Linked DNA regions of Macaca mulatta. The protein of the gene in region 3 purifies or fractionates together with the protein of the main gene of each other region. This does not show direct contact. Links are inferred from orthologs where the notes say so. Each region holds a gene or a part of one and is shown on either strand. Other genes may lie near its edges. The genes, in order: EEF1A1, EEF1B2 and VARS1.

Evidence for each region.
Region 1: the proteins of VARS1 (region 3) and EEF1A1 purify together in Homo sapiens (affinity purification with mass spectrometry; 3 studies listed by BioGRID and IntAct, counting the BioPlex papers as one, with this or other methods). This does not show direct contact. The link is inferred for Macaca mulatta from reciprocal best matches to the Homo sapiens genes VARS1 and EEF1A1.
Region 2: the proteins of VARS1 (region 3) and EEF1B2 fractionate together in Homo sapiens (co-fractionation; 3 studies listed by BioGRID, with this or other methods). This does not show direct contact. The link is inferred for Macaca mulatta from reciprocal best matches to the Homo sapiens genes VARS1 and EEF1B2.

The regions. Positions count from the first base shown.
Region 1 is NC_133409.1:112,151,405-112,155,370, reverse strand, and holds the start of EEF1A1 (elongation factor 1-alpha 1), read right to left. Parts: upstream 2,813-3,966; 5' UTR 2,800-2,812; exon of another isoform or gene 2,162-2,799; intron 1,854-2,161; 5' UTR 1,824-1,853; coding exon 1,680-1,823; intron 1,326-1,679; coding exon 1,146-1,325; intron 1,026-1,145; coding exon 729-1,025; intron 646-728; coding exon 495-645; intron 408-494; coding exon 151-407; intron 54-150; coding exon 1-53. UniProt on the Homo sapiens protein: Translation elongation factor that catalyzes the GTP-dependent binding of aminoacyl-tRNA (aa-tRNA) to the A-site of ribosomes during the elongation phase of protein synthesis.
Region 2 is NC_133417.1:111,411,954-111,416,242, reverse strand, and holds the start of EEF1B2 (elongation factor 1-beta), read right to left. Parts: upstream 2,822-4,289; 5' UTR 2,497-2,821; coding exon 2,417-2,496; intron 1,897-2,416; coding exon 1,774-1,896; intron 1,138-1,773; coding exon 1,011-1,137; intron 608-1,010; exon of another isoform or gene 529-607; intron 449-528; coding exon 382-448; intron 256-381; exon of another isoform or gene 126-255; intron 1-125. UniProt on the Homo sapiens protein: Catalytic subunit of the guanine nucleotide exchange factor (GEF) (eEF1B subcomplex) of the eukaryotic elongation factor 1 complex (eEF1).
Region 3 is NC_133409.1:150,527,202-150,530,730, reverse strand, and holds part of VARS1 (valine--tRNA ligase), read right to left. Parts: coding exon 3,474-3,529; intron 3,234-3,473; coding exon 3,109-3,233; intron 3,020-3,108; coding exon of another isoform or gene 3,017-3,019; coding exon 2,932-3,016; intron 2,680-2,931; coding exon 2,579-2,679; intron 2,446-2,578; coding exon 2,318-2,445; intron 1-2,317. UniProt on the Homo sapiens protein: Catalyzes the attachment of valine to tRNA(Val).

The DNA.
Region 1 (3,966 bases), about 38 Mb from region 3:
AACACAGGGGCATAGCCAGCACTTATTTGGCCTGGATGGTTCAGGATAATCACCTTGGAAAAAAAGATTTGCGTTCAGTGTAAATCCAAAGTCTCAAATGACTTTAGCCTCTGCAATAAGGTAGGAACATGTTACTTTAAAAATTGTTACCTGAGCAGTGAAGCCAGCTGCTTCCATTGGTGGGTCGTTTTTGCTGTCACCAGCAACGTTGCCACGACGAACATCCTTGACAGACACATTCTTGACATTGAAGCCCACATTGTCCCCAGGAAGAGCTTCACTCAAAGCTTCATGGTGCATTTCGACAGATTTTACTTCAGTTGTAACGTTGACTGGAGCAAAGGTGACCACCATACCGGGTTTGAGAACACCAGTCTCCACTCGGCCAACAGGAACAGTACCAATACCTAAAAATATTTACAGCATACTAAATACCTATGAAGGAAGATAGTACTCTACCAACTCAAATTCAACTTTGTTGACACCCAACTTACCACCAATTTTGTAGACATCCTGGAGAGGCAGGCGCAAGGGCTTGTCAGTTGGACGAGTTGGTGGTAGGATGCAGTCCAGAGCCTCAAGCAGCGTGGTTCCACTGGCATTGCCATCCTTACGGGTGACCTTCCATCCCTTGAACCAAGGCATCTGAAACACAACCATGCCAATTTGTGTAAGCATGAAATCGCCATTCCCAGAGCTTTTTAACAACGGTCTTGAAAGCCACTTACGTTAGCACTTGGCTCCAGCATGTTGTCACCATTCCAACCAGAAATTGGCACAAATGCTACTGTGTCGGGGTTGTAGCCAATTTTCTTAATGTAAGTGCTGACTTCCTTAACAATTTCCTCGTATCTCTTCTGGCTGTAGGGTGGCTCAGTGGAATCCATTTTGTTAACACCAACAATTAGTTGTTTCACACCCAGTGTGTAAGCCAGAAGAGCATGCTCTCGGGTCTGCCCATTCTTGGAGATACCAGCTTCAAATTCACCAACACCAGCAGCAACAATCAGGACAGCACAGTCAGCCTTTAAAGAAAGCAAAGACATATCCCTGTCAACTCTCCAAAGGACAAAACCAATGCACAAGACAGGCATTTCAGGGAAAAAAAAAAAAAAAAACAACCTAGAATTATTAATCCCACCAACCTGAGATGTCCCTGTAATCATGTTTTTGATGAAGTCTCTGTGTCCTGGGGCATCAATGATAGTCACATAATACTTGCTGGTCTCAAATTTCCACAAGGAGATATCAATGGTGATACCACGTTCCCGCTCAGCTTTCAGTTTATCCAAGACCCAGGCATACTTGAAGGAGCCCTTTCCCATCTGTAAGGATTAAGAGTTGTTACTTGGTTACTAACACACAAACTCCAGCTTCAATTTCTTTGCCCCCAGCCCTTAATTGGCACATAGTTTCCACTTTACAACTGCAAGTCCTAAGCAATTTTAGTCACTTAGATAGGGTTACAGAAGCAACCAAAAAGCAAACTTTTTAAAGTAGGATCTTGACTATTAATATCCAAATCGAAACTACTCACTAGCAATACGGTTACAGAAGTAACCAAAAGCAAACTATTTTAATAAGTAGGGTCAGATCTAAACCACTCACTAGTTCTGGGGAAATCACTACCACTTAATGATTCTGCTGGTAAAACTCATTTTAGTTCATCTTTCCCATACCTCAGCAGCCTCCTTCTCAAATTTTTCAATGGTTCTTTTGTCGATGCCACCGCATTTGTAGATCAGATGGCCAGTAGTGGTGGACTTGCCCGAATCTACGTGTCCAATGACGACAATGTTGATATGAGTCTTTTCCTTTCCCATTTTGGCTTTTAGGGGTAGTTTTCACGACACCTGAAATGGGAGAAAAAAACTTTGAACCACTGTCTGAAGCTTGAGAATAAGCCAAGATCCAAATTCGAAAAGGGCAAATTCCAAGGAGAATTACATCGAGCGCCAAGCTGGCCTAACTCTTCAGTCTCCACCCACCAAGTGTGGGGAAACTCCACCGCACAAAACCCCTCCCCCAAACCTAAGGAAGACGTACTCCAAAAGCTCGGAGAACTAATCGAGGTGCCTGGACGGCGCCCGGTACTCCGTGGGGTCACATGAAGCGGCGACCGAGGAGGGAAAGGCCCTTTTCCTTTGTGTGGGTGACTCACCCGCCCGCTCTCCCGGGCGCCGCGTCCTCCATTTTGAGCTCCCTGCGGCAGGGCCGGGAAGCGGCCATCTTTCCGCTCACGCAACTGGTGCCGACCGGGCCAGGCTTGCCGACCAGGGCGGGGCGACACACCGCCGCGCGAGGCCCGGCACCAGAGCAGGACGGCCAGCTTGAGACTCCCCCCGTCCGACTCTCGGTGGCCGCGCTCGCAGGCCCCGCCTCGCCGAACATGTGCGCTGGGACGCACGAGCCCCGTCGCAGCCCGCGGCCCCCAAAACCCCAATATCAGTGTGCAGATCCTGGTCCGCATTTATAAGATTATCTCGCCAGGAAAAAGGCGTTGCAGCTGGTCATCAAAAATTTTAAATGGCTAGAAACTTAGTGAAAGCAGCGGGGCAGGCGCGAAGGTGCTACCAGATTCGCACGCGGCAGCCCCAGAGCCCAAGCCAGGCCTCGACTCAAGCACGAGGCGAAGGGACTCCTTAAGTGCAAGGCCTCGACCTCTCCCACCCACTTCCAACCCGAAGCTCGGGATCAAGAATCACGTACAGCGGCCAGGGGCGTGTAAGTAATAAAAGGCACGCGAGGGCCATAGCCCGTAAAGAGGCCAGGCCCGCAGGAGCCACACACAGTACTTACCTGTGTTCTGGCGGCAAACCCGTTGCGAAAAAGAACGTTCACAGCGACTACTGCACTTATATACGGTTCTCCCCCACCCTCGGGAAAAGGGCGGAGCCAGTACACGACATCACTTTCCCAGTTTACCCCGCGCCACCTTCTCTAGGCACCGGTTCAATTGCCGACCCCTCCCCCCAACTTCTCGGGGACTGTGGGCGATGTGCGCTCTGCCCACTGACGGGCACCGGAGCCTCACGCATGCTCTTCTCCACCTTGGTGATGACGAGAGCGGGCGTGTGAGGGGGCGGGAACGCAGCGATCTCTGGGTTCTAGGTTAGTGGGAGTTTAACGACGGTCCCTGGGATTCCCCAAGGCAGGGGCGAGTCCTTTTGTATGAATTACTCTCAGCTCCGGCCGGGGCGGGGGGGGAAGAGGAGGGGGAGGGGGAGGCGACGAGGTGGCGGCCTGGAAGGGACGTCCAGAATCTTTCCTCTACCATTGCTAGCTTAGCCCCAAAGGTTGTGTTGAGATTAGGGTGTACCTTCGCCCCCCAATCAGCCTCCTGTCCTCAGCCTTGCTATCTCGCTAGTCCGTGACAAATCCCTAGAGCGTCGTCTTCTGCCGGTCTCAGCCCAGCCCCGGGTTGGCTCCTCCTCCGCCCCGGCTTCCGCGCCCCTCCCGCGTGGCAAGGAGTACCAGGCCCGGGGACCCCGAGGGGCTTGGGGCGAAGGGTCTGGACTGGAGGACTCCTTAACGGCTCACGGACCTGCGAGAGGTTCGGCTCGATGGCCGTGAGCTCGACGAATCCGCTCCTGTGCTGGCCTCTTGGCTCCTTCCATTCAAAGCCAGCTGCTTTTATCAAAGCCCGTAACACGTCATCTCCCCCTGGTACTCCAGATGTCCAGGCTTTCAGTTTAGAATAGACTCAGTCCTACAGTTAGCTTTAGATCTAATTCTAGTTTTGTTACGCCAAAAAGTTCCTGCGAGTGTGTGTGTGCCTCATGGTACTTTTTAAATTAAAAGGTGTACAGTCATTTGATTGCAAACATAAGGAAGCTAAAAAGCTTTCAAATTCAGATTTTCCACGTGATCTCATGTAGAGACTAAGATCTACAGCATCAGCAAGTTTATCCACCCAGTTTCCTAACCCCAACACTTGCTATGAAGTCACAGCTTCTCCTATTTAAA
Region 2 (4,289 bases), on a different chromosome or scaffold from region 3:
AAAATAAACAGCATTATTCAAATAATGAACTGTATTTTTTTACCTTACTCCAAGACACAAACAAATCACCTCAATTTGTTTTGAGATTGACTATCTCCTTAGCCAAACAAAACTACAGATACATCTTGTGTCTGTCACACATATGCCCACTTTCTGTTTTGCTAAGAAAGAGGTGTTTGTGTTAACAGTTTCTTTCCCACAGAGGAATGCCACAACTGCTACCATAAGAACAGCTGCAGACCAGTAGCTGTGGAAGAACTTCTACAGGAGGTTTTAAAATATTGACCTGTTCAAGGAATGTGGAGGAAATTACTTAAAGGTCAAGCTTTGAAAAAGATTACTTACATTATCATGAAATGAAGTTAAAAACAAATGACCTACTTTTGGCTTTCTTTGATTCATATTGTGCAAGACGTTCTTCTCTTAGCCTCTTAGCCTCTTCACTTTCCTGTAAAGAAAAAAAATTAATCCACTTCAGAAAGTCGGTTGTCATCTGCTTAAAGCTAGTGGGGTCATCACAAAAAAGACTGGCTTAATCAGAAAAAAGCAAATCCATCACGAACTCAGCCGAAAGATGGTGATTTGATTTTATTCATCATGCAACCAGTCAGAATTTGAAAAAGGCATATAAGTTAAAGCCAGGATTCAAATCCAGGCAATTTGGCTTAACCACATTGATAAAATTGCTGATCGATGTATTCTTTTTTTTTTTTGAGACGGAGTCTTGCTCTGTCGCCCAGGCTGGAGTGCAGTGGCATGATCTCGGCTTACTGCAATCTCCGCCTCCCAGGTTCAAGCAATTCTCTGCCTTAGCCTCCTGAGTAGCTGGGATTACAGACACCCGCCACATTTTTTTAAATTTTTAGAACAGACAGGGTTTCACCATCTTGGTCAGGCTGGTCTTGAACTCCTGACCTCGTGATTCACCCGCCTCAGCCTCCCAACATGCTGGGATTACAGGCGTGAGCCACCGTGTCTGGCCGATATATTCTTTATAGAAGATGCCATACCTCCTCATCATCAGATCCAAAGAGATCAATATCATCATCATCTTTACTATCTGTAGCTCCACTTCCTGTAGTGTCTTCCACATCAGCAGGACCATACTTGCCCAAAGCTTTCTTCACTCCTGGCAGGCTTGAAAAACATTTAAATTCAACCACTATTGAGCTAGTATAACATACTTTTCCAGACAATACAAAATAACTTGTTTTAATCACTACTTATCACTAGATCCCTTTTGCAATAATAATTTACCCTTTCACATGCTCCCAGGTAAACACTATCATATGTTCAACTCCTCACCCGACAAGCATTAGTACCATGTGAGACATTATTTTCAATACTCACTATGATTTACTCTTTCAGTATGAACATTTCTGTTTGAGATTTCATTAAGTATGCTCAGTTCCATTCTTAGTGAACTGGAGTCCACTTCCCCAAACTTCCACCCTTGTTGGCAGTTTCAGAAGAATGGCCAAGGACTGAATGAATGAGCCACCCTCTCACCCCAGAGGTGGGCCCCCCAGGTCAAGGTCGAGGCACATTGGCAGGGCAGTGTGGGGAAAAGTTGAATTGCTGCTGTCCATGTTCTACCTGTTCTGTGAAAAAATGGAGGGCTTCAGTCTCTTGGCCTTCTCAGGTTACAGAAAAATTTAGCTTACAATACCCCAACAAAACTAAAGTAGCCTGGGTCTAGTTTTGTCATGTGAACATCCTGATAAAGCTTCGAGAGTAGTCTTATTCTTCAGCTAGATACAAAGATGATTTTACCTGGCCTTTTCCTTTTCGTAGGACTTGATGTGATTATACCAACGTAGGGCATGACACAAGTCAGCAGGCGGTGGCCCGGACACGGCTTCAAATACTGCCACATCTGCTTGTGATGGCACATACCTGCCAATGACACAGAGACATTCACACACACCTTTGAAAAACAAACGCCAGCGAATAAATAATCAGTGCCTATGCATCACATTAATTAGTGGGCACTAACTCCAGTAGGGTTGCTTTAATGCTTTTCTTTTCTTATTATCTCCTTAAAATCAAACCATATGTTTGGGTCACCGCGCTATCCTGAGAAATGTCTGCAGACCTCAAATACTGCAATCTCTAACGTTGCTCTATCTACAACCTAACATGTATTAACTGGGCAGCGATGTGGAAACACCTGGCTGAATTAAGTGTAAATAAAGCACATTTTAACCTTCCTTTGCTCGTGAGCCGCTCCCCGGAGGCCGGGCTCGCACCACACGAGGGCCTTGGGAGATGGCCACGGGGCGCTTTCCCGTCATCCTCGAAAGGGCCCTGGGGCCCCGTCTCCCTCCCTCCAGCGGCAGCCGACACGCTGCGCCACGTGGCCCCGGCCCCGGTCCCAGAAACCCCTCCACCACCCCGACTCAGCCGGTCCGCTCACCCCTCGATGTAGCTCTTGTCCGCCAGGTAATCGTTGAGCACCTGGAGGCCGGCGGGGCTTTTCAGGTCTCCGAAACCCATGGTGTCGGCTGTATCCGAGAGCTGGGAAACAGCAGAAAGAGAGCGCACAAGTTGTGGGCTCCCCGCGCTTAAGAGAGGAAAAAGGGCCCGGAGAAGCCGGAAAATTCCTTATATAGAGACGGAGGCGTTTCCCTCCACCACGCCGGACCGAAGGTTAAAGGTCAAAGTACGTTAGCATTCCCACTTCTCCACGTACGAATTGGGGGCCCTGAATTAAACGGCTCACAAATTGTCCCTGGATCTTTCGTTGCGTTTGGAAATAAATTAATAAAATGGGCATGTCTTAAGTTCATACCTCCACGGCTCCCGAAGATGACGGGAACCGCCCCTAGAAGCGCCGGAGATGACCGAAGACGCTCGGCCTCGAGGCTGCCGGCCACTTCCGGCGGAACTGCGGGTCCAAGTTGTCCTTCCCGCCTCCGGGCTGGGCCGACCTCAGCTCCGCCCTCTGGTCGGCTGACGGAAATTGCCGACAAACTTATCGAATGCAAGGATTCTAGTCCCTCCGGGCTTTCCGTTCTCCAGGCCCGGCTGACAGAGTTAGCTGAGGCCGCCATATTGAGTAAGCGACCCGGCCTCCAAGGGGGTAGTTGTGGTCCAGACAGTTTAGCAGAACAGCCTCCGCGGCTCCGGGGAGAAGGTGAGGTCTTGTATGGATGGGAAGGGTGAGGTGCATGGGTCAGAGGCTTATTTATTGACGGGACTGTTTCCTTTGGCCCACGCGACTTAGTCTTCTCTTGTCCTTGACTGGGAGCCGCCTCCCGCCCCGCCGCCTCGGAAGCCTCTGAGAGCCGGCAAGTGGGGCTTTTAGCCACGGTCTCTGGTCTGATGGAGCAGAAAGGAAGATGAGGATTAGGGGGCCCTCGGGAGCGCTGGCCCGAATGCGGGCTTGTAGGTGACCTTCCCTCTGCAGGGAAAATTCAGGACATTCCCCTCTCAGAGGAGGCCGTTTTATTCCCCGGTAGAGGACCAGTGTCCGATGACTTAAGCCTTAAGACTGAGCCTTTTCCCCCAGATTTTTACACGCCTGGTACAGTACATGATTGTTTGGTCGCTGTTGTGTTAGCAGTGGCTCACGCTTCTGTTGTCCTTATTTGTTTTGTCCATTGACCACGTTGGACAGAATTTTTAAATTCCTTTCACTAACGGGAAATTGAGAAAAATGACTTTTTGAAAAGTTAGCTCAGGGTTGCATTGCGAATAACAAAATATTGTTTACAAGTTATTGGGATCTATGCTTGTACTGTGAGGTCTTGGATCAGACACAACTTCACACACGAATTGACAGTATAGAAGTGTAACAATAACTTTTTGATGAATAAACAGGTTATTTTTGTTTTGCGGAATAGTCTTGTTTTCACCGACTTAACGCTGCCAGAGCACCTGCACTTTTTAAATCCGGGAAAGTGGTCCCTACAAATTAACGACCAGAAATTAGAGATTCAGTTCACTTAACAGTTACTGAACGTTTACTACGAGCCAGAAATGAGTCCGTAAAGAAGAATAAAATGGGTGATATTCTGGGGAATCGTCAGGAAATGTTAGATAGGCTGGTCAATGAAACTGAGAAAAGGCTTCGAAGCCAAGATTTGAAGGATAAGGAGGGGCCAGGGAAGAACATTTCAGTCCGAGGTCACTGCCAGTGTCAAGAGGGGAGGGGCTGTGTGGGAATAGTGTGGAAGCCTGGTGACCTGTTAAGAAGATATTGAAATACTCCAGGCAAGGAGTGATGGTGGATTGGGATAGGGTGGTACCTTGGAAGGCAGAAAGTAGATGGATGAATCCATGTTGGA
Region 3 (3,529 bases):
CTATACCAGTGAAACCCTTCCACACATGCTTGAGCAAGCATGTACAGCAGGGGTATCCAATCTTTTGGCTTCCCTGGGCCACACGGAAGAACTGTCTTGGGCCACACATAAAATACACTAACACTGGCCGGGCGCGGTGGTTCACGCCTGTAATCCCAGAACTTTGGGAGGCCGAGGCGGGTAGATCACGAGGTCAGGAGATCGAGACCATCCTGGCTAACATGGGGAAACCCTGTCTCTAGCAAAAATAAAAATAAAAAAATTAGCTGAGTGTGGTGGCGGGCGCCTGTAGTCCCAGCTACTCAGGAGGATGAGGCAGGAGAATGGCGTTAACCTGGGAGGCGGAGCTTGGAGCTTGCAGTGAGCCCAGATTGTGCCACTGCACTCCAGCCTGGGCGACAGAGCGACACTCATCTCAAAAAAAATAAAAAATAAAAATAAATAAATAAAAATACACTAACACTAACGATAGCTGATGAGCTTAAAACACACACACACACACACACACACACACACACACACACACACACACACACAATCTTAAATGCTTAAAGAAAGTTTACAAATTTGTGTTAAGCTGCATTCAAAGCCTTCCTGGGCCACAAGTGGCCCACAGGCTGCAGGTTGGACAAGCTTGATATACAGGGATGTGCATTAGAGTAAGGTTTTCAACAACAACAACAACAACAAACCAGAAAGAACCATTAATTAAAAAGTGACTCCAGGCTGGGAGCAGTAGCTCACTCACGCCTGTAATCCCAGCACTTTGGGAGGTTGAGGCAGGCAGATCACCTGAGGTCAGGAGTTCGAGACCAGCCTGGTCAACATGGTGAAACCCCATCTCTACTAAAAATACAAAAATTAGCCGGGTGTGGTGGCAGGTGCCTGTAATGCCAGCTACTTGGGAGGCTGAGGCAAGAGAATCGCTTGAACCTAGGAGGTGGAGGTTGCAGTGAGCAGAGATTGCGCCACTGCACTCCAGCCTGAGCAAAAAAAGCGAAACTCTGTCTCAAAAAAAAAAAAAAAAAAAAGAGTGACTTCACTATGGTATAGCCACACTATGGGATATTATGGAACAATGAAAAAGAAGGAAGTCAGTATGTGTGGTATGTGTGTAAGGACAAGGAAAGATCTCCAAGAGAAAGTGTTAAGTGTAAGAAGAAAGCTAGCGCATAACATGTGTAATGTGAACCCTTTATGTTAAAATATAGAAAAGACTCACCCAAAAGGAGAACTATAAATTTCTATGGGTACATGTATATGTAAGTAAATAGGAAAGATCTGGAAAGATACACATCAAAGTGATAACAATGGCTAAATCTTGGGAGGAAGTAGGTGTGGGGGGGTGGTCAAGGGGATTTGAAAATTTAAATTTCTTATAAGAATATATTCATAGGCCGGGCATGGTGGCTCAAGCCTGTAACCCCAGCACTTTGGGAGGCCGAGACGGGCGGATCACGAGGTCAGGAGATCGAGACCATCCTGGCCTACACGGTGAAACCCCGTCTCTACTAAAAAATACAAAAAACTAGCCGGGCGAGGTGGCGGGCGCCTGTAGTCCCAGCTCCTCAGGAGGCTGAGGCAGGAGAATGGTGTAAACCCGGGAGGGGGAGCTTGCAGTGAGCTGAGATCCGGTCACTGCACTCCAACCTGGGCGACAGAGCGAGACTCTGTCTCAAAAAAAAAAAAAAAAAGAATATATTCATATATTTTGGTCAGTTGCGGTGGCAGATTCCTGTAATCCCAGCTACTTGGGAGGCTGAGGCAGGAGAATCACTTGAACCCAGGAGGCGGAGGTTGCCATGAGCCAAGATGGTGTCACTGCACTCCAGCCTGGGCAACAGAACAAGACTCTGTCTCCAAAAAAAAAATATATATATATATATATTTTTTTTTTTTAATTAAATTCAAAATAATGTTATTGTTACTAGAAAAAGAAGGGATAGGCTGGGTGTGGTGCCTCACACCTATAATTCCAGCACCCTGGGAGGCTGAGGCAGGAGAATCACTTGACCTGGAGACCAGACTGAGCAACAAAGTGAAAACCCATCTTCACAAAAATTTAAATTAACTTAAATTAAAATTAAATAAAGAAAGAAGGGAGAGAAGAGAGTCTGCAAGTGGCAGTGTTGCATGGGAGTACTGGACTAGGAGAGGAAGCTAAATGATCAGATGGGAATGAGAGAGAGAAGTGTAGCGCCTCTGGGGGCAGAGGTAAGCACCAACCCAGAAAGAGAGAGGCTGGGGGGCTGTCAGCCAAGAGGAGAGAGCCAGATGAGGCAGAGGGAACCAGAGGGAGGTGCGGATAGGAGCTCACCATCGAGTCAGGGAGTCCTGGATGGCGTTGGTGAGCGCATGGCCCAGGTGCAGGGAGCCTGTCACGTTGGGGGGTGGGATGCACATCATGAAGACACCTCGGGGATTTGCTGCTGACACATTAGGACGCTGATGGTGGAGAAGGATGGCACATGTTTAAGGCCTCAGGTCACCTCTCCCAGCCCCTCCCAGGCAACACGTCCTTCAGTCCTGCCCTTCCCCACCCCACCCACTCTGGGCCTGGGCAGCAGTGCCCACTCACCCCATACTCTGGCTTGAAGAAGCCCTGCTGCTCCCACCAAGGGTACCAGGCAGCCTCCACATACCGAGGGCTGTAGGAGTCGGGCATGGGGCCACTGACATCTGGGGGAGAGGAAGGGAGGGCTCAGTGCGTGGCTGAGAGCACCAGGAAGGAGACGGGCTAGCAGAGAGGGATCAGGATCTCCCTCTCTGAATGTCGCTTACATCGTAGGACAAGCATTTGAGGGGCCTAGGGGCAGGGGAGGGGGTCTGCAAATCCTCACCAAACAAAGTGGTGAGAGCAAGAACAGAGCAAAATAGGGTGAAAACTTGGAAGGGGCTGCTGAGAGGTGAGCCCCTTCCCACTCCTAGTACCTTTCTTTTCCCCGGGTGGGGTTGGGAGGTCATAGGTAATGACCCCAGGATCCCGTTTCTCCCTCTTCTCTGGTTTTGGTTTCTTCTGCTTGGGAGGGAGAAGACATAGGCCCAGGCATCAGCCACCCCATCACTGCACACAGCAACTTTCCTTCCAGCTCCACCCTCGCCTCTCACCTCCCCTGCAGGTGGCTGCTGCTGTTGGATCTTCTGCTTCTGTTGGAATTTCTCTAGCTTCTCCCGTTTCTTTGCCTCTTTCTTGAGCTGAGCAGCTGTCTTTGGGAGGGCAGGAGTCTCGGGGCCTAGAGAGAAGCACAGAAATTCAGACTCAGCCAGCTGGGGACCCTCTTGGATGGCACTACTAGGTTTCAGATGGGCTATTTCAGATGCCCGAGGTCTCGCCCATGCTGGCCTCCCCCCTCCCCCTCCTCTCCCGCAGGACCCTGCCCCAGTGATTCTGCCATTTCTATGAAAAAAAGAAAGTGAGTTGCATGGAAGGCCCCATGGAAGCCCCTATCCTCCAACTCCTCACCCTGCCTCACCTGGCTGATGAGAGAGAGGCCTGGCCCCTGAGTATAGAACTACTTCTCCCAGCACC